Arabidopsis thaliana: one gene and its partner. The protein of the gene in region 2 interacts with the protein of the main gene of each other region in a pairwise test. Each region holds a gene or a part of one and is shown on either strand. Other genes may lie near its edges.

What was found.
Region 1: the proteins of MYB105 (region 2) and SAD1 interact in binary tests that used the Arabidopsis thaliana proteins (3 or more experiments, as listed by UniProt).

What each region holds. Positions count from the first base shown.
Region 1 is NC_003076.8:19,809,425-19,818,871, reverse strand, and holds SAD1 (Small nuclear ribonucleoprotein family protein), read right to left. Parts: upstream 5,527-9,447; 5' UTR 5,466-5,526; coding exon 5,432-5,465; intron 5,316-5,431; coding exon 5,192-5,315; intron 4,766-5,191; coding exon 4,693-4,765; intron 4,546-4,692; coding exon 4,510-4,545; 3' UTR 4,318-4,509; downstream 1-4,317. Other genes in the region: KAT5 (peroxisomal 3-keto-acyl-CoA thiolase 2), read left to right, coding at 1,851-1,949, 2,067-2,131, 2,209-2,293, 2,375-2,501, 2,589-2,687, 2,776-2,849, 2,930-3,037, 3,106-3,183 and 6 more; AT5G48860 (uncharacterized protein), read left to right, coding at 6,007-6,273, 6,961-7,221. UniProt on the Arabidopsis thaliana protein: Component of LSM protein complexes, which are involved in RNA processing. Component of the cytoplasmic LSM1-LSM7 complex which is involved in mRNA degradation by promoting decapping and leading to accurate 5'-3' mRNA decay.
Region 2 is NC_003070.9:26,153,728-26,163,087, forward strand, and holds MYB105 (myb domain protein 105), read left to right. Parts: upstream 1-3,974; 5' UTR 3,975-3,979; coding exon 3,980-4,451; intron 4,452-4,527; coding exon 4,528-4,896; intron 4,897-4,979; coding exon 4,980-5,179; 3' UTR 5,180-5,367; downstream 5,368-9,360. Other genes in the region: AT1G69570 (Dof-type zinc finger DNA-binding family protein), read right to left, coding at 8,044-9,063, 9,324-9,360. UniProt on the Arabidopsis thaliana protein: Probable transcription factor that involved in boundary specification, meristem initiation and maintenance, and organ patterning. Functions in both lateral organ separation and axillary meristem formation.

The DNA of each region.
Region 1 (9,447 bases), on a different chromosome or scaffold from region 2:
GTTTGGGTTACATAAATTGTATAGCGTGAGCTACATACAAATTTTCTTTCTTTTCGGTGTATGTATTTTTGTGTTGGTTTTTGTTTTAGGATTCTCATGGCTTTTGAATTGTTTCTAGTTATGCTTCATGTCAAAGCACAATTTCATTTAGGTTTGACAAAGCTAGTCATAGTCATGAAAAATATAGGGAGTATATTAAAGTAGGATTTTGCTCTTCTCCTATTACACAACTTGACATGCTTTTTGATAATCAATATTTATAAATAGACTATTTTATTTAAACTACTCAACAAAAAGACCCAATTTAATTGATTATTATTTAATTATGAAAATAAAAATAGGACTATTATGTTTCTTTTCTTTAATTTTTAAAATTCTGTTTCTAATTTGGGCTGCTTAGTTGAGTAGTAATGTAGAGGACTGTTTTAATTAATTACTGAATTTTTTATTTTAAAAACAATACTATTAGTAATGTAATTTTAAAAATAAAAAATAGTATTGTTTGCATGGAATACTTTGCCTCATAATGGTTTCACTTTGACTATTAGAGAATGGGAAGAAGAACTGTTTGAAGATGTTGAACTGGTTCTTCTTCCTCTTTGTCGGAGTAATCTGAATCGAAATCGACGACAACCTCCATTGAAAAACATATATATATATATGTATAGATTTAAGAGAAACCTAGTAACATATTTAATCAATTCAATATTTGATTTATTGTTTTTAAATAGATAATTAAACATTTTAAAATAGAAAAACAAAACCAGTTCAAAACCTTACTTTATGTAATAAGTTAGATACTTAATAAACAAATAAAAGAAATTAGGTTTGCAAGAAATCTAACATGAATGGAAGGTTAGGTAGGCATAAAAATGAAAGATAAGTAAGGAGGTTGGTAGGAAGAGTGGTGGAGGATCAAAAGAGTATGGCAAAAGAGTTAATTGCCAAATGCAACGTCACTTCTTTCACTCCTCATCTAACTCTCAACACTATTTTTGTATATATAATCTTGAACAATCGGTTATCTCAACATTTGCATATTGTCTACTTTTAGATTTTGATATCTATTGGAACTCTTACTAGCTCATTCATCCGTCGGGTAACTTTCTTGACCTCTCTCCATCTTATCTTTTACGAGTCTTAAAGACTTTACTTATCTAAGAAAATCCGTTTTAGTCTCTCAAAATTGATTTATTAGATGGTATATTCTAGTCACAACAACTATTTTTTGGACGAGAATTTTACAAAATAATTGAAGGATACTTAACTCTTTCTTACTAAACAAAACAACTTAAATCTATATCCGATATGAATTCTTGTGGGTAAAGAATACAAATCATGTATATTATCTGGATATCCAAATTATTCACTAAAATTTTATAAATTATCTCAAATTCTTCTAAATTTGTAAATTACTCAAATTATCAAAATCACTAATACCCAAAATGAGAAGAAACATTTATTGCTTAAAAGTTAGATTCTTCCCACGTGGCCCGGTTTAGTTATAGTTGCCGACGATTAATTTCCGGTCACATTTTTAACGGCGTGAGTTTGTATGTGGCGTAAAACATGTCAAAATGCGATATTTTCGTAACGACGTTAACTTATACAAATACGACAAGACAAGGTTTTGGCAACGAGGCCAATCAGACCAGACTTGTGAGAACTGAGAACGATCGATCAAAAATCTCTCCCACGATAAAAATGAGGACCCTGAAGCTCATTGTACTTAACGTCTTCCCCTTTCCAGAAAAATCAACCAAACCCATTTCAGTTTCCCCGGAAAGTTTTTGTCTTTCAATCACCATTAGAATTCAGCTGCAACACAAGTGTTTGCAACAGAGAGAATCATGGAGAGAGCTATGGAAAGACAAAAGATATTGCTTCGTCATCTCAATCCAGTTTCTTCTTCTAATTCTTCTCTTAAACATGAACCTTCTCTTCTGTCTGTAAGTTTAGTTGTCTTAATCCGTGAGTCTTAATTAGACATTGAAATTGTTTGTGGAAGCTGATGATCTTTAACTCTGTTTTATTATGTGACTCACTTGTGTTTTTGTTAATTTTAGCCTGTGAATTGTGTTTCTGAAGTTTCCCCAATGGCTGCTTTTGGAGATGACATTGTGATTGTAGCGTAAGTATACTCATTGAGTTTGCTTCACTTTCACTTTCTTTAGTTTTCTTTGTTTCTTGATTCTTCTTCTTCTTCAGGGCATATCGTACCGCCATTTGCAAAGCGAGACGTGGAGGTTTCAAAGACACTCTTCCTGATGATCTTCTTGCTTCTGTTCTTAAGGTAAGTCATCAATTAAACCTTGTGCATGCATGGAGTAGTAGTATCAATGATTTCTTATGTTTCATGGTTTGTTCTGATTAGGCTGTAGTGGAAAGAACATCTTTGGATCCAAGTGAAGTTGGTGATATCGTTGTTGGTACCGTGATAGCGCCTGGTTCTCAGAGAGCAATGGAGTGTAGAGTTGCAGCTTATTTTGCTGGTTTTCCTGGTACTAAATCTCATTCAAGAATCAAGATAAACTTAATATCTCACAAGTTGTTGATATGTTTCTTCATCCTTCTCTTTTACGAGCTAGACTCCGTGCCAGTTAGAACTGTCAATAGACAATGCTCATCAGGACTACAAGCAGTTGCTGATGTTGCTGCTTCCATTAGAGCTGGTTATTACGACATTGGTAAGATGCTGCTGCATCAGTTTTTTGTAGTCTCTAGCTGCTTGTATAGGCCATGGGATTGATTCTCTCAACTTTGTGAATTGCATAGGTATTGGTGCTGGAGTGGAATCAATGTCAACTGATCATATTCCTGGAGGCGGCTTTCATGGCTCTAATCCAAGAGTAAGCTATCACAATGAGTGTATAAATTTACTCAACAAGAAGAGTTTTGTGATGATCTTGTAAACTCTACATGGGAATAGGCACAGGATTTCCCAAAAGCCCGTGATTGTTTGCTTCCAATGGGAATTACTTCTGAAAACGTTGCAGAAAGGTTCGGTGTCACAAGAGAAGAGCAAGATATGGCTGCGGTTAGTTAGTTATTCTCTTCACTTTTTTCCTCTCTAGTTCATATAAGTACTGATTCAGTAATAATCAGGTGGAGTCTCACAAACGCGCTGCAGCTGCAATCGCGTCTGGTAAACTCAAGGATGAAATCATTCCTGTTGCTACTAAGGTAAAACAAGAACCTCCCAAACTTCCTTTAAAGCCCTTTTGGTAGAGCTTTCTCAGTAAATGATATTGTTCTTGACAGATTGTGGACCCTGAGACTAAAGCAGAGAAGGCAATCGTCGTATCTGTTGATGACGGTGTACGTCCAAACTCAAACATGGCAGATTTGGCAAAGCTGAAGACTGTCTTTAAACAGAACGGTTCCACCACAGCTGGTTAGAAACAACTCTCTTAACTATCACTGGCATAAGTGAGATCATAGATTGAAGCATTTAAGTATATGTGTTTTGTGTAGGCAATGCTAGTCAGATCAGTGATGGTGCTGGAGCAGTACTGCTAATGAAGAGAAGTTTGGCTATGAAGAAGGGACTTCCCATTCTTGGAGTATTCAGGTAAAATGAATATACAACATTTTGCCAGTTCAAGAAACCGAGCAAATCTGATTCCGGAACAATGCAGGAGTTTTGCTGTTACTGGTGTGGAACCATCTGTAATGGGTATTGGTCCAGCTGTTGCCATTCCCGCTGCAACTAAGCTCGCAGGGCTCAACGTCAGCGATATTGATCTATTCGAGATCAATGAGGTAACAAAATATTTCACATTGGTTTTTTTCCTGTTTCGGAATAATACATACATATAAATCTTTATTGTTGCATTGTTAAACAGGCATTTGCATCTCAGTATGTGTACTCTTGCAAGAAGTTAGAGCTGGATATGGAAAAGGTCAATGTTAATGGAGGAGCCATTGCTATTGGCCATCCCCTGGGTGCTACAGGTTACTACTTACCAAGCTTGTCGTAACTAAATAAAATGCAACATTTGTTACAGGCTAATAGAGTTCTTTTCTATATGTTCAGGAGCTCGATGTGTTGCGACATTGTTGCACGAGATGAAGCGGAGAGGAAAAGATTGCCGCTTTGGAGTAATCTCAATGTGCATAGGTATATATATAAGATTTTTTTTCAGATTGAATTGGATCAATGATTACCTATGTTAATGGTATATGTAAAATGCGAACGTCACAGGCACTGGAATGGGAGCTGCAGCTGTTTTTGAGAGGGGAGACTCTGTTGATAACTTGTCCAACGCTCGTGTGGCTAACGGGGATAGTCATTAGAACATCGAAGAGAGCTTGAATAAGTAGAAGTAATGATGCATTGAGTCTAATAAATATGATGCTTTAGCTCTTTCACATTGCTGAACAATGAAAACTTTTGTCATTCTGAGTTTAAAATCAACTACTTTTCTCTGAACAAAGTGTTAAATCTAAAACCAAAAGTTACATCCTTCCTCACACAAGTCTGAAAACACCAATCAAATCTCGCAAATCTCATTCTCCATCTTCGGGAGACCCACCTGGCACCAGCTGCATCACAAACATTTTCAACACCAGTTTCTTAGCAATTTGACTATTCAAATGACCAACTGTTTATATCAAGATACTTGAAAATTCATCACAAGGAAGTTTATACAACGTATGGCTATGAGTAACCACAAGTGTTTTTTTACTTACAATGGCGATGTTGTTGCCATTGAGTAGAATCTGATCAAGCTTTGTGACCCGTCTTCCTTCTGCCGTAATCTCACTACACAACGATGCTTAGATAAATTAGTAACACACTCTAGTTACAATTCAATCAAGAATTTGTTACAATCAAAACTTGAATCTATGAGATCCTAACTCCAAAGCAACACGGGTTTAAGCATCAATTAACTAATCCTCACACAACCACAAACAACTCAAGTCACCGAAACCACATATGACCCCGCTGAAATAGACTCTATGCATACACAATAAATGTCATTAATCAGCAAATGAATGAACTGTGATGGACATTCACAAATCAGTATTGAGATCAATTACCCAAAAACAAAATCCAAAAGGCTAAGTTCTGCATAATCACATCCATGGTTCAATGTCTATGATTCACCTCCTAAAGTGTAATAGATCAAGCAACATTCCAATTAAACAAGATATGAAGCAATAATCGAAACCCTAAAATCAGACTTACTATTCGGTGACATCTTCAAGAACCATGTTGACATAAACATCGAATCCTTTGAGAATACCAACGAGCTCCTTATCTCCTTTCATTATCACCCAAATCTTAGACCCTATACACCTATCGATTAGCTCTGCACAAACAAACCAAATCGCTCAAAAATTGAAAACCAAAAAATCGCAGATCTAGTTCGATTTTCTTACATATAAGAAGGTGGAAAGTGAGAGATGTGAAGAAAAAATTGCATACCTGAAGGAAGAAGCTGTGAAGGATTGTTCGCCATGACGAAGAACAGTGAGGCAAGTGAAGGGTTTTTGAATTTTCTCTGATTTTTCTTGCTCCGAAGCTTTTTCTGATTTTTCGATTTTTAGGGTATTAATGTTTTACTTTTAGGAAATTTACAAGAGAACCCTCAAACTATCTTTTTGTTTCAAGATTGACTTTTAACTATGGAAAACTTAATATATAAACCTTCAATCTAATTAGAATATTAAGGATAAATAATCACGTCTCAAATCCCTACATTACTAGTACGGAAGTACCTTTCAAATAGTAATATTGGCTTTTGTAAGATATTATGTTACAATGTCATTGGAAAAAACTGTAACCACCTAATTCACTTTACTTTAGTTATAAGGTCAATTTACTTTCGAATTTAATTATGCTAATCTTGAATCATGGATCCATTATACGGATCTATGAAATTTTCTTGTTTCTTCCAAACATAGGTCTACTGAGATTTTATTATTTCTTTGAACGATTGATCTGTAGTAGAGTTATCAAAATGGACGAGTGGCCCGTGTCCAACGCCTAATGGACCGGGCATGGACAAGCCCATTATGAAGCAGGCATTAATGGACATGGGCGTTAACGGACATGGGCATCAGCGGACTGGACGTGATGGACATGGGCGGCCCAATGGTCAAAAAATATTAGGTTTAAGTGTTCGGGCAAAAATAAATTTGGGGAAAAAACATTTCCCCGACGCTTATTTGGCGATTTCTTCTTTCCGGCGATTTCTCCGGCGAGTTCCTTCAACATCTCAACTCCATCACATCATGGATCCTCCTGAGATTCCTAATCCAGTTCAAGTAAGCAAATTCTCGTCATTTTTACTCAATTCGATCTGGGTTTTTGATTACTCAATTCGAAATGATTTTTTGTTACTGTTTTTTGCTTATTGAGAGTGATTTTGACATGGGTCTCTTTCGATTTCTGTTACTATTGTTTGATATAGTGTTCATTGTCTGCATTATGCATAGTATGAACTATGAAGCTTGGTCCTTTGACACCGTGTATTCATGAAACTGCAAATATCAAAAGCTTAGCTCACTAATATGAGTTACTTAAACAGAAAAAAGAATTGGTAGTAAGCACAAAATGGAATTCTACACATCTAATGCTCTCTAGAGCGATTATTTACAAAGAAACATTCAAGCATCTTGCTGAAGCAAATACTATTGTGTTAAAATTTGGTTTTGTTATGCCTATTGGACAACCCATTTGGACATGGACATTAATGGGCACGGGCGTTAATGGACATGTGCCTTAGTGGACATGAACACTATTTGTCCAATATCGAAATGGACATTATTGGACTGGGCTAATGGACATGGACAGCCCGCTGTGACAGCTCTAATCTGTAGCAATCCATGTGCAAAGCTACATCCAAGATTAGCAAAATTAATTGTTAAATACACATTACCAGAAGAATTGAAAAGAAAGTATATAGTTAAGATACCATTTGTATCATTAGATATTCAATCTCGTTGTTGTAGTCATATACTTGGAAGCTTAGAGGATCGAAAAACAAGGTGCAACACATGTTAATGAGGATAGGAACTTATCAAAGATCCTTGCAAGAAGGTATGGAAGTCGTGCTTTACATTATTTCTATAAAGAACAATGTCCATATCTTCTCAGCTACGAGGTATCCGAGAGTAAGGCGAATAAGAAAACATGTTTCAACCAAATCAAGAAACATTTTTCCAGTCAAATTCAAATCAAGAACTCTGTTTTCAGCCAAATCTAAATCATGATCATGTTTTTGTTTTGTGTAGAGAAGACGTTAGGCGTAAGAACACACAAAAACATTAGCATGAAATTATGTGATGTAGTCAGGACCGGCTCAAACATTTTGTAGATCCAGTGCTATTATGTAATCATATCATGTTTTTTTTTTTTTGGACCCTAGACCATATGTCCTAGCACCTTAAGCACATGTGCTAAGCCGGCACTAGATGTAGTTGTAATATTTTATATAAAAAATGTAACATTTTTTTAATCTTCTATGCTTTTTAGTTAACTCAAAATAATCTAACATACCCGTAATTTTTGAAAACAAAAAAAGAATTGTTCAGCATACTTTTGAATGAGTAACCAAAACTCATGCATGATATCACATATGTTTAATAGTGGGCCATATAGACTGCTTCACAAACACCACTTTTAAGTCTTTAGCAAGCTTTCTCCGTTATTATCTTCACGATTGTGTACCCAAAATTGATATGATTCATAAAATGTTGTTGACTTGTTGAGTTCATAAATTCAACCCAAAAGTAAATGAAGAACAATGGACAACAAAAAGAAAGTAATTGTGGAAGATAATTGGTTAAATTAATTCAAATGTCGGTTCTTGCCTTCTTGGTATAGAGGGATTATTCAACTAGTTAGGATCGATTTCAAAATTTATGGAGATAGAAACAATGACAGTTTATATATGTATGTTCTCAAGACAATATTCTATTAAGACCGGCTTTGCACCTAAACAGAATAAATAGATGTAATACGAAATAAATCGAACGAGTGATTTATATGCAAGCATGAACCCATACTCTAAGGAATGAATTAATCAATGGTTCTTATTTTTAATCATGTTAGTTAGATGCAAACCAAATCAATCTTGAATAATGCTGATAAACCGTCTTAATTCATGCGATGTCTCCACTAGTCTCGGATTTCTATAAAATATTCAATATTGACTTATAGCTAAGTCTCAAGTCCGTAGAATTATTGTATATTTTTGTATTCCCCGAAAACACTATTTGCCTTATTGCTTTGTGGTCCAAAATGTTTATCAGTGAGCGGCAAGTCTTGTAAACTAGTGAATAATGCCTCGCAAATTGTCCAGATTCATTGTGTTTTGGCTTATTATTGTATATGCCACAAAACGACTGAGAGTGACGATGATTCGCTACGTTTTTTTTTCTATAATAAAGTTTATAATTATTGATGTGGTTACCACTTAGATATTAAAATCAATTATATCCTTTTCAATGATTCTAATGACGATTGGATAATTAAATTTAGATAATGCTTTTTTGTTTGCTACTTTTTTCTTTTGTAATGAAGATTGAAATGCTTTGCACTAGTTGGGATCGAATCTGCTTATAGTATAGTACTTATATTCCCACAGTACATCCCCGACTTCTTTTTAATGGTATTTGCAACTGATCATGTGTACAAGAATGGACTGATTAATCTCTGAAACATGAATTATAATTTAAGCTAAGAAAAGTAAAGAAAGTACCTAAAATAGATAGTAAAACCTTATAAACATAAATCTAGATACTACTTTAACTGATAAACTTTTTTCTGTGAGGCCATTTTTTCTAATGGATACTAAAATTTATTATGTGCAATTGAATAAAATCTGAATATCACTACAAAAGAAAAAAAAAATGAACAATGGATTGACTAGTAAAACATTTGAATGATTAGTTATTCACTATATATGTAAAGGATGATGTTTGTGATGGTACTATCCAAATTGACAAAAAAAAAAAATCAAAGATATTTCGTCCAAAATAAATTTATGCGACGAGCTGACCTAAGTAATGACTTGTGGTCCGAATCCTTTTCTGTATAGTGTCTTCTGCTAATTATAGGCAAAGAGCTGATATACGCTTCTCTTTGTCTCTCTTGCGATTTCTCCTTTTTATCTTTTCGAATCTATCAGGTTGGGCCAAACTAAAATGGACCGAGCTAAAATATTACTAGACTAAGCCACTGTTATGTTGAGTTGAACCATCTTTATTTGGGTCGAGCCGTTGTCTTAATGGGCCGATGTTCTAATGGACCGTTTTACCATATTAGCAGCTTGTTTGACTTAGTTAATCTTTGTTTGGCCGAATTAGGCATGGAAAACAAAACAAGTATTACATACTAACTATCACAAAACATATCGTAAAAAAGATTATATATTTTTTCATGCAGATTTTTACTATAAAATTTAAAATTAAATGTAATGTATTAATTATAATTAA
Region 2 (9,360 bases):
GAATGTGGCGAACCGGTTTACCATTGTGGATGAGAACCGGAATCTGAACCGGTTCGTAGAATCTTGTTCGTTCTCTTCTTCTCGTATAAACAATTGATGAAAACTGAAATACATTTTAGAAGCGGATCGGAGTCGTTGATCACGCTGGAGTCTATTCGGGAACCTACGATGAGGATTACGTCGCTTCTGTTGGTTGCAGCGCTGAAGGAATTTGTAGAGAAAATCAATTGCGGAAGAGGAAGGAGAGAAGCAGCAACGATGAGGATGATGATAAACACTATGGGCTTTTAATGTGTAATGTATGCTTTTAGGCCCAAAATAACCCAATAATAGACACTAGGATTTATTTATCAAAGTGTAACATTATGGGCTTTTATGTGTAATGTGTGCCGTAATGTATTTTTTCTTATTTGCGATGAGAGTACATCATATTTGAATGACAAATTGATTTCGATGCGATTTGAGTGTGGTTAGAAAACCAAATTACCAAATTAGTCTAGTTATATTATTTTTTGTATTTTCAATTTACATAATAATATAAAACAGTACTTGAATTTAATTTATAATATAAAACATTACTTGAATATTTGAAAAGCAATACATAAATATCACAGAGAAATTAATTAGTAAAATTAGAATTAATTTTTGTGTTTAAAATGAAAGAAACTAATAATGGTAATTAATTAATATTGTTTAAATTAATAAGAAAGAAAATTAGTCTCATTGAAGGACTTTGCTCAGCCTCTTTGCTTAAACTTATTCTCCTTATGCTTCTTCAATTTTTGGTACGGATTATCAGCTTGCTTATTCCAACAATTTATTCACAATTTCATGCAAATATCTATTGCCGATCGAATACTGAAACTTTGGAATGTTGTCGGTAAAAATTATAACCTCTCTAGACCAGGTTGAAAAAAATGTTGCAAAAAAATGTATAATCTAGGTGAAAACTTTAAAGAAGGCTAAAATTTCTTGCTCCTTTACGTGACAACTCATATACGTAGTTCTGTATTTGAATGTAATGAATGAGGCCACAACATCTATAGTGTTGATTGAAGGTACGGTTTTACATTTTTTGTTGGTTGTGTTGGTGATGATTTGAGGAGAAAAAGGTTATAAAATTTCCCAAAATAGAGCAATGGGGCTATGATAATAGACAGGTCATTATATTTAGGGAATTCGTTTCCCATATTTGAGAGATTGTTACTATTTGGTTAGCTTTCACATCATGAGGTTTTTGTTGACTCTAAGAACAGTGAGTCTTCTTCGTGTACATGTCCACATTGTTTTTAAAAAAATCCTCCTGTTTCAGTCTCTTGTTCATTTATGCGATCATCACTTGTTTTCCTGTTTTAATGTCCAATCCACCATGTTGTATAGTTTTTTCGGTCGGTTCGAAATCATCCTAAACCAAAAGCAGGTTGAATCCAATCAAATGAAACGTACTAAACTCGATTTTAGCGAAAGCTAGTTGAAAACTCTTAACTTTAAGTATAAAAACTTACAAGACACTTTTGTAACCTATGGAATTTGGGAACTCTAAACTAGTCTATGAAGTTTGTAGAATAATTCCATAGTTTTGTTTTTTAAAATCTCCGTATTATATTTTGATGAGGCTTTGTGCCTAGTAAGACCCAAAGCTAGTCTATTAAACTAGCTATTGCCTATGTTGGCTATGTCACTATGTGCTCCGAAATGATCGATGTATAATTGAGCAATGTGCGTGTGTTTAGGTATAGTAAAATGAGGAGCAGAGCATGCACGTACGTGTTGTTGAATTGATGGAACATGGTACGCTATAAAATCAGTTCGTGGTGTCGCATATTTGAAAATGAACCACAGTAGACTCGCAAAACATTTCTCTGTTGATATGAATTGGATCCTATGCATTAATTTCTGAATCTGTTTCCTTTCCCGACATTATATATTGTATATGTTCCACATTTAAAACTGAAAATTCAATTCTAATAATTCTATCCCCTACAGTTATTGAAACAGACGTCACCAAAAAAATCAACACCTTTTTTTAATGGCTTTTTATAAACGAACCCCGAAAACTTGTAAAAATAAAATAAAAAATACTTGTTAACTTAAATAAGTAGATAACATATACTTTTTTTTCTTTTCAAATGATAACAAAATAAAAGTGAAGGTAATTGGGTTGGGTGTAGATATCCTTAATTAACCTGCTAATGGTTAGTGTTACTTTGTTAGTGCGTATCTTTGAAAAAGTAACTATCCATTCTCACATCTACTGTATGACACAAATTTAGTGTAAATTAAGAAAGTATATATTCAAAGTTATTGACCAAGAAAAAAGGACCATAGGAAATGTTGAGTTAATCTCTGCAGATGGACCGTACAAGTCTGCAGCAAATACTCTGAATCTGAGATAATGTATTCCTCTGCCAATTGATATCTTTTTGGTCAAATAAATACATCTACGTTATGCTTAAAGTCTCACCAAACCTAGGTATTTCCTTTGTATATATGGGATAATATATGTTTCGTATATGCATTTATAGCTGCACAATTAATTAATAATAAAAAAAGAAATACTTTACATTCTTTTTTAAAATTGCATTATGGTGTTATGAATATTCATATTGCGACAGAAATTCTAACGATAATAACTTAATAAGTCTAGCCGATCCCTTAAAAAAATGATTTATAACAGCGAATTCTGCGACATATGGTTGGATAGTTAATTTTAAAATCAGTAAATGGTAGAATTGATATGGCAACAAGTAGTCAAGACTATATGAAAAACGGACTCGTTTGGGAAGATCATTAACATTCACATTATGAAGAGACCGGCTATGTACGTAGAAAGAGGGTTTCATATAAACCATCAAAATGTCGAGAGTGAGAGATAAATGGGGATTGGTGAAAAGACATGTGAAGTGTGCGTGAGAGATATAATTGTGGTTAGAAAATAAAAGACGCAAGAGTCAAATCAAATGTATGCTTTGAGCCTTTTTGGCTGTTATAGTTGGGACTACTTCAGATGTTTAGTTTCATCCTCATTACTATTTCCAATTTTCGGTAGCAACCAACAACAACAACAAAATCATTAATTATTTTTTTAAAAAAAAAAGATTCTGTAAATTGTAGGTTTCTTTGTAAAGGAAAAACAAATAAACAACCAATTTGTGATGGTTTAGTGGTTAATTCAAATTGGTTGTGAGATAGAATTCAAAACTTTGATAATGCATGAGCAGTGACCACTATGAATGTATTAAATGACAAGAATACCTAACGCTTAATTCATATGTATCAAGCGGAAAATAGTTAAAACTTGGGGTGAAATCGCCTTGTTACTTGAACAAAAAAGAAAAAGAAGAAGATCATATTCATAGTTCGAAATTCAAACAAGATAATACCAAGATTTTGTTTGGCAAGCAATCGTAGAATAATATGATGTTTTGTTTGGGGCAACAAAGAACAAAAGCAGTTGAACTAAAAAAAAAGATGTTTACGGATGTTTAACAACTTTTCATCTCTCTCCACTTTTCCAAACACATCTCCACTGCTCACAACGTAGGAAACGTGTTCCCTGTCCTTTACTCTTTCTCTGTCCTAGCATTTTTATTTATTTCTTTCATCTCTATACGTTTCCACATTCCTAGTTTTTTCAAAATTAAGTAGTGACAATTATTGTGAAAATGTTATTGGATTTTATTGTAAATGTAGATTATAGCTATTTGGTTATAACTTAAACCAGAGATAATAATACTATTTATACAATAATCCTAAATTAAAATATCTAGAATGTAAATTAAACTGAGTGTTGAAAACAATTTACAATGCATAAATACAAATGTATAGAAATATATATCAGCTTTCAAATCAGTCCGTGACAGTCCATGAACCTTTTAACAGTTGTATAACAGCATTTTGTCAGAAAACAAGGTCACAACATATACATACACGCACATAGCTTAGAGCCATACGTAATAATATCACACAAATATCAATTATGATGTTCAAAGTCATATTTAATATTTGCTCTTCTCCTCCAATGAGGATGGAGATGGTGCATGCTGACGTGGCGTCTCTCTCCATAACACCTTGCTTCCCGTCTTCTTTGTCTTCGTCCTCACATCATCACTATAACCAACAACAACATTGTATCATGTCGGAAGATCAACACCATTCGATGGATCAGACCACTTCATCGGACTACTTCTCTTTAAATATCGACAATGCTCAACATCTCCGTAGCTACTACACAAGTCATAGAGAAGAAGACATGAACCCTAATCTAAGTGATTACAGTAATTGCAACAAGAAAGACACAACAGTCTATAGAAGCTGTGGACACTCGTCAAAAGCTTCGGTGTCTAGAGGACATTGGAGACCAGCTGAAGATACTAAGCTCAAAGAACTAGTCGCCGTCTACGGTCCACAAAACTGGAACCTCATAGCTGAGAAGCTCCAAGGAAGATCCGGTACGTTAATTCTGTCACTTGATTAAGCTTTTACAAGATTCACGTTCTTGAGATTTTGGGTGTTAATGTTGAGCAGGGAAAAGCTGTAGGCTTCGATGGTTTAACCAACTAGACCCAAGGATAAATAGAAGAGCCTTCACTGAGGAAGAAGAAGAGAGGCTAATGCAAGCTCATAGGCTTTATGGTAACAAATGGGCGATGATAGCGAGGCTTTTCCCTGGTAGGACTGATAATTCTGTGAAGAACCATTGGCATGTTATAATGGCTCGCAAGTTTAGGGAACAATCTTCTTCTTACCGTAGGAGGAAGACGATGGTTTCTCTTAAGCCACTCATTAACCCTAATCCTCACATTTTCAATGATTTTGACCCTACCCGGTTAGCTTTGACCCACCTTGCTAGTAGTGACCATAAGCAGCTTATGTTACCAGTTCCTTGCTTCCCAGGTTTGAGTTTTTGTGTTCTCTTTTCTTTCAGTTTTTAATTCCATATCATTTCTTAATTTTCTTCCATTTTTTGTACTATTTAGGTTATGATCATGAAAATGAGAGTCCATTAATGGTGGATATGTTCGAAACCCAAATGATGGTTGGCGATTACATTGCATGGACACAAGAGGCAACTACATTCGATTTCTTAAACCAAACCGGGAAGAGTGAGATATTTGAAAGAATCAATGAGGAGAAGAAACCACCATTTTTCGATTTTCTTGGGTTGGGGACGGTGTGATCATCATCGATCATGAACAAGACTGGCTTGAGTTAGTTAACAAAAGTTATGAGATGATTTGAGTCCTTGTCGATGTAGTTATGTTGCGTTAATAATTGTAGATTAAATGTTGTTGTCCTTAGTCACATGCAACATTCCTTACCCCGTGTTAATTAGCACGTACATATATACCACTCGTTGGTTAAAATCAATGCTTTCATTTATGTAGATGCCAAATTGTCTCACCTTTACCAAAATTGATTTGAAGTGTAAAACATTTGTACCACTTTATAGTTCTAACTAACTCTTATCTTATATGAAAATGTCAGATTCCGTCATTAATGTCCAAAAATTGTATGGAGTGAGAGTAACAACATGCTTCGTATATGAAGAGGAAGGTGACATATGTTAAAACAGGGACGATGATGTGGATATAAGAAACGACAAAGAACGATAGAGAAGTCAAATTAAAAGGAATAATGTACTACATTGTATTTATTTGGAGTATGCAGAAGTTTAATAACAACATGCGATATTGATGAGGTTGCAAGATTCAGGCACAGATTCTGCAACAGAAAGTCCAAACATCCACTCTTTAATATTCTCACACCCATTGCATTTTTTTATTCTCTCCAAAGCAAAAACATATTTTCATTTCATTGCCCCTTACTTATGCGTCTCATCGACCTCATGTCACCCACATGGCCCCTTCTCCTAGTTATTGTTCATTGTAATAATCATTTGATTTGTATCATGATACTATTTGTATACGTCATTGTAGTTTTAGTCCAGCTTAACACATTTCTATGACTAAATCGAAATAATTGATTGATTTATGAAATTAAGATTAAATTTATGTAATACCGTTTTTCACTAAACACTTCCCGTTGTTAATTGTTTTTTTTTAAGGTTCCATAAGATCCACAAGAAAAGGATAAAACGGTAAGGAGTGTGCAATGTGCACCACTTAAAATCTATTGCTATTCCAGGCTTAGGCCCATTCTCGGACCCAATTTCAGTTTTGTTTGGAAGTGTTTCAACTTTTTCTTTTTTTATGTTAACCGATGTGATTCAATTTCTCGAGCGAGAGAGTACCAATATAGAATGAATATCTCAATTTTGTTTCTAATTTATTAGATGTTCTTAAAACGATAAGTGAAAAGCAATAACGTATATATTGGTTGATTAAAATTTAAATCAAAACGTCGAAAACAGATAAGTGTTGAAGTAAATATCAAACCAAAACCTCTATCAAAGGAACATTCATGTTAATGTAGTTCCTTATGTAATCCAATAATTAAATATTCATGACTTTTTCTTTTTCTTTTATTATTCAAAAAGAAAACAATTTTTTCTGTTTGTTTCCTTAAAAAAGCTGAACTACTTTACGAGAACATATACGTATGGTCCAGGTGAAAGCTGAGTGGCCTCCTACAAAGTCTACCTAACTTTATTCCTTTCTTTCACATTTAAGAAATCTATTTCATAACTTTAGTCTTTAGTCGTATGATAATAATGATTCCAGTTAATAAATCATTTGCAATTTTTATGATGACTAGACCTTGGTAACGAATTTTCCAAAACCCTTCTATATGTTTGAGCTACCGATGTTGCGTATGGTTTTAAGTATTTGCTCTCCAAGTACATTTCTATTCTTTATTCTTTCTCTCCACTCGAGCACCTCAAACTTTTGTGTTCCTTCGGTATCCATTGTTAAAAATGAGAACTCACCAACAACTTAGAACAGTCTTCCGGTTTGGGAAAAGAACATGCGTAGCCTCCCTGCTTATTCTTTAAACGTAACTGGATTTTAAGCTTTTTGTGCAGCTAAAAGAACCAGTCTTTATGGACCTTTAATTTTCACATATTTGTAGAGCTCAAAAACAAATAAAACATTTATTTACTTTTTGTGGAAGAATAGTATATGAGATCAACTATATAACATGAACTTGGGTTGCCTCTCAAAATGTGATATGCTATAATTCTATTAAATTATTAGACAATCGAAAGATTTAAATGCTGACAGTTTAACAAGTAATATTTTTGTTGTTTTAAAGTTTTGTAATCTGCATTTAAGTCTCATTTGAAAGGACATTATATTTACGTTTCATGATCATGGAAGACTCGAAAGTATTAACAAAGATTGGTGTCAAATCTCAAATGATTATGATCCAAATCTTGGAATTACATGGTTATAAAAATAGGTATAGAGCAACAAGCTAAGTATCCATACTAATAAGTAGAAACATTACAACATATCAAGTAATAATCAAAATGAGTAGTATAAAAGATTAGTGAAGGTGCAAAAAGAATGGAAAAAGACATTGGAAAAAAAAGAATAATTGCTTTTTAGAAAAAGTGACTTTTATGCTCTTCTTTTAGCTTTTTTTCAGTGCCAGTGGTTGGATTCTTCTCTTTAATCCAAATATGAAAGTGAAAGATGCTCTGCTTTCTTTGGTTTCATATTCCTCTTTTCTTATCTCTTATCTTAGATTAGTTTGACCCATTTACACTAAGTACCAAAATCGTACAAGCTAATAGTCTGGTACCTCATGCTCATCTGACATGTATTTACCAGAGAGGACAATTTGGAGTTGAGATAATATTTATCTCATGATTCATGGGCAAAAACGTAATTGTAAGTTCAAGATAGATCACGTAGATATTAATCTAAAGGTTTATATATGTTGCAACTTCATCACACAATGGAGAGAAATATCTACAGCTCCAAAAATATCTCTGTTTGTGTACAACAGTAAATACTATATCTACTCTTAGTTCCAAACAACAAAACTATCTACACAGCTTTGCCTTCTTCCACAAGGTAACAATTAGCCAAACTCAAATCTCTCAGTTCATGAATATATATCTATATTAGTGTCTGATTATTGTTGCATGCTCTCCCTGAAGTTCATAGCTCTAGACATCGCTGCAGGGTTTGCTTGTAGACTGTGAGAAGTTTCGGAGACCAAGCTACTTCTGTTGCTGTTTCCCTTTGTGTCAAATCCATTGAACAAACTGAATCCTTGCGTTTTTTTCTCGGGTTTTGTCGGTAACTTAGACCACACAGCGCTCTTACTAGCTTCGATATTCATTCTAAGAGATTCTGAGACCAATCTTGCTCTTGTAGTAGTTATTGTTGTATTAGTATCATTGATTCTTCCTTCAGTTTGATCTCTTGACCGTTTTCCTAAACATGATGAAGTCTCTGAGGTAGGGTATATCGGAACCGTGCATCCCCAGTAGAAGGGGACAGGGTAGAAACTAGCGTTAGGACCCGTTGGACTCCATTGGTAAGGCCAAGGAGAAGAATTATTAGGTAACATTACTTGCGGAGGAAGAAACCCTTGGTAGCTTTTATTTTCTTGAGAAACTGAATCAGCACTTATCTTTGCTGTATCACCTGACTGATGCTTACCAGTCTCTGTAACCGAAGACTCCGAAGAACCGAAACTAAGGATCGTCCCCGAGTTATTATTATCACAATCCTCAGAAGTGACTTGCAAGTAATGGTTTGAAGAAGGCCATCCTTTGTTCTTGCGACGACCTGAGCCAACAGGAACGTTCCTCATAGATCCACCAGCTGTCCAATACCTCTGACAGTTCCTGCAGAAGTAACGTGGCTGGTTCACGTTGTAGTTGTTGTAATAACAGAATTTGGTGTTTGCGCTTTCACATCTAGGACATGGAATAAGCTTGTCCGGTTTCTTGAGAGCCGTTGATTTCTCTCCTGATGTAGTACTTGTGGTAGTTGTTGTTGTGATCTCGCTCTGTTGATCACAGTTGTTCTTGGAACTTCTTGGTGATGAAATCTCAGATACTGCTTTTGGTGGTTCGTTTAGATCGGATAATATATATGGATCTTTGAATTTGTTACTCTCTTGCTCACTTTTTTTAACCGGAACCTGAATTTTTTGTAGAATTTTGATTAGAATTAGCAAAGAGATATAAACAGTCAAGCAAACATTAATTTTTTTAGCCTTTATAACTCATAACAGAGAGAGAAAGTCTCAAATTTTAGGGTTAAAAATTCAGATCGAGATCGACCCATTTGTAGATTCCCTCAGCCAAGAAACTTTTATATATTCATCTCAAAATCATAAAGTTCGTTTATAGATTAATTAACACATAACAAAAAAAAGAGGTTAAGATTCTCATGACATACCCTGATTGGTCCAATAGTTGGAGAACAAGAAGATGAA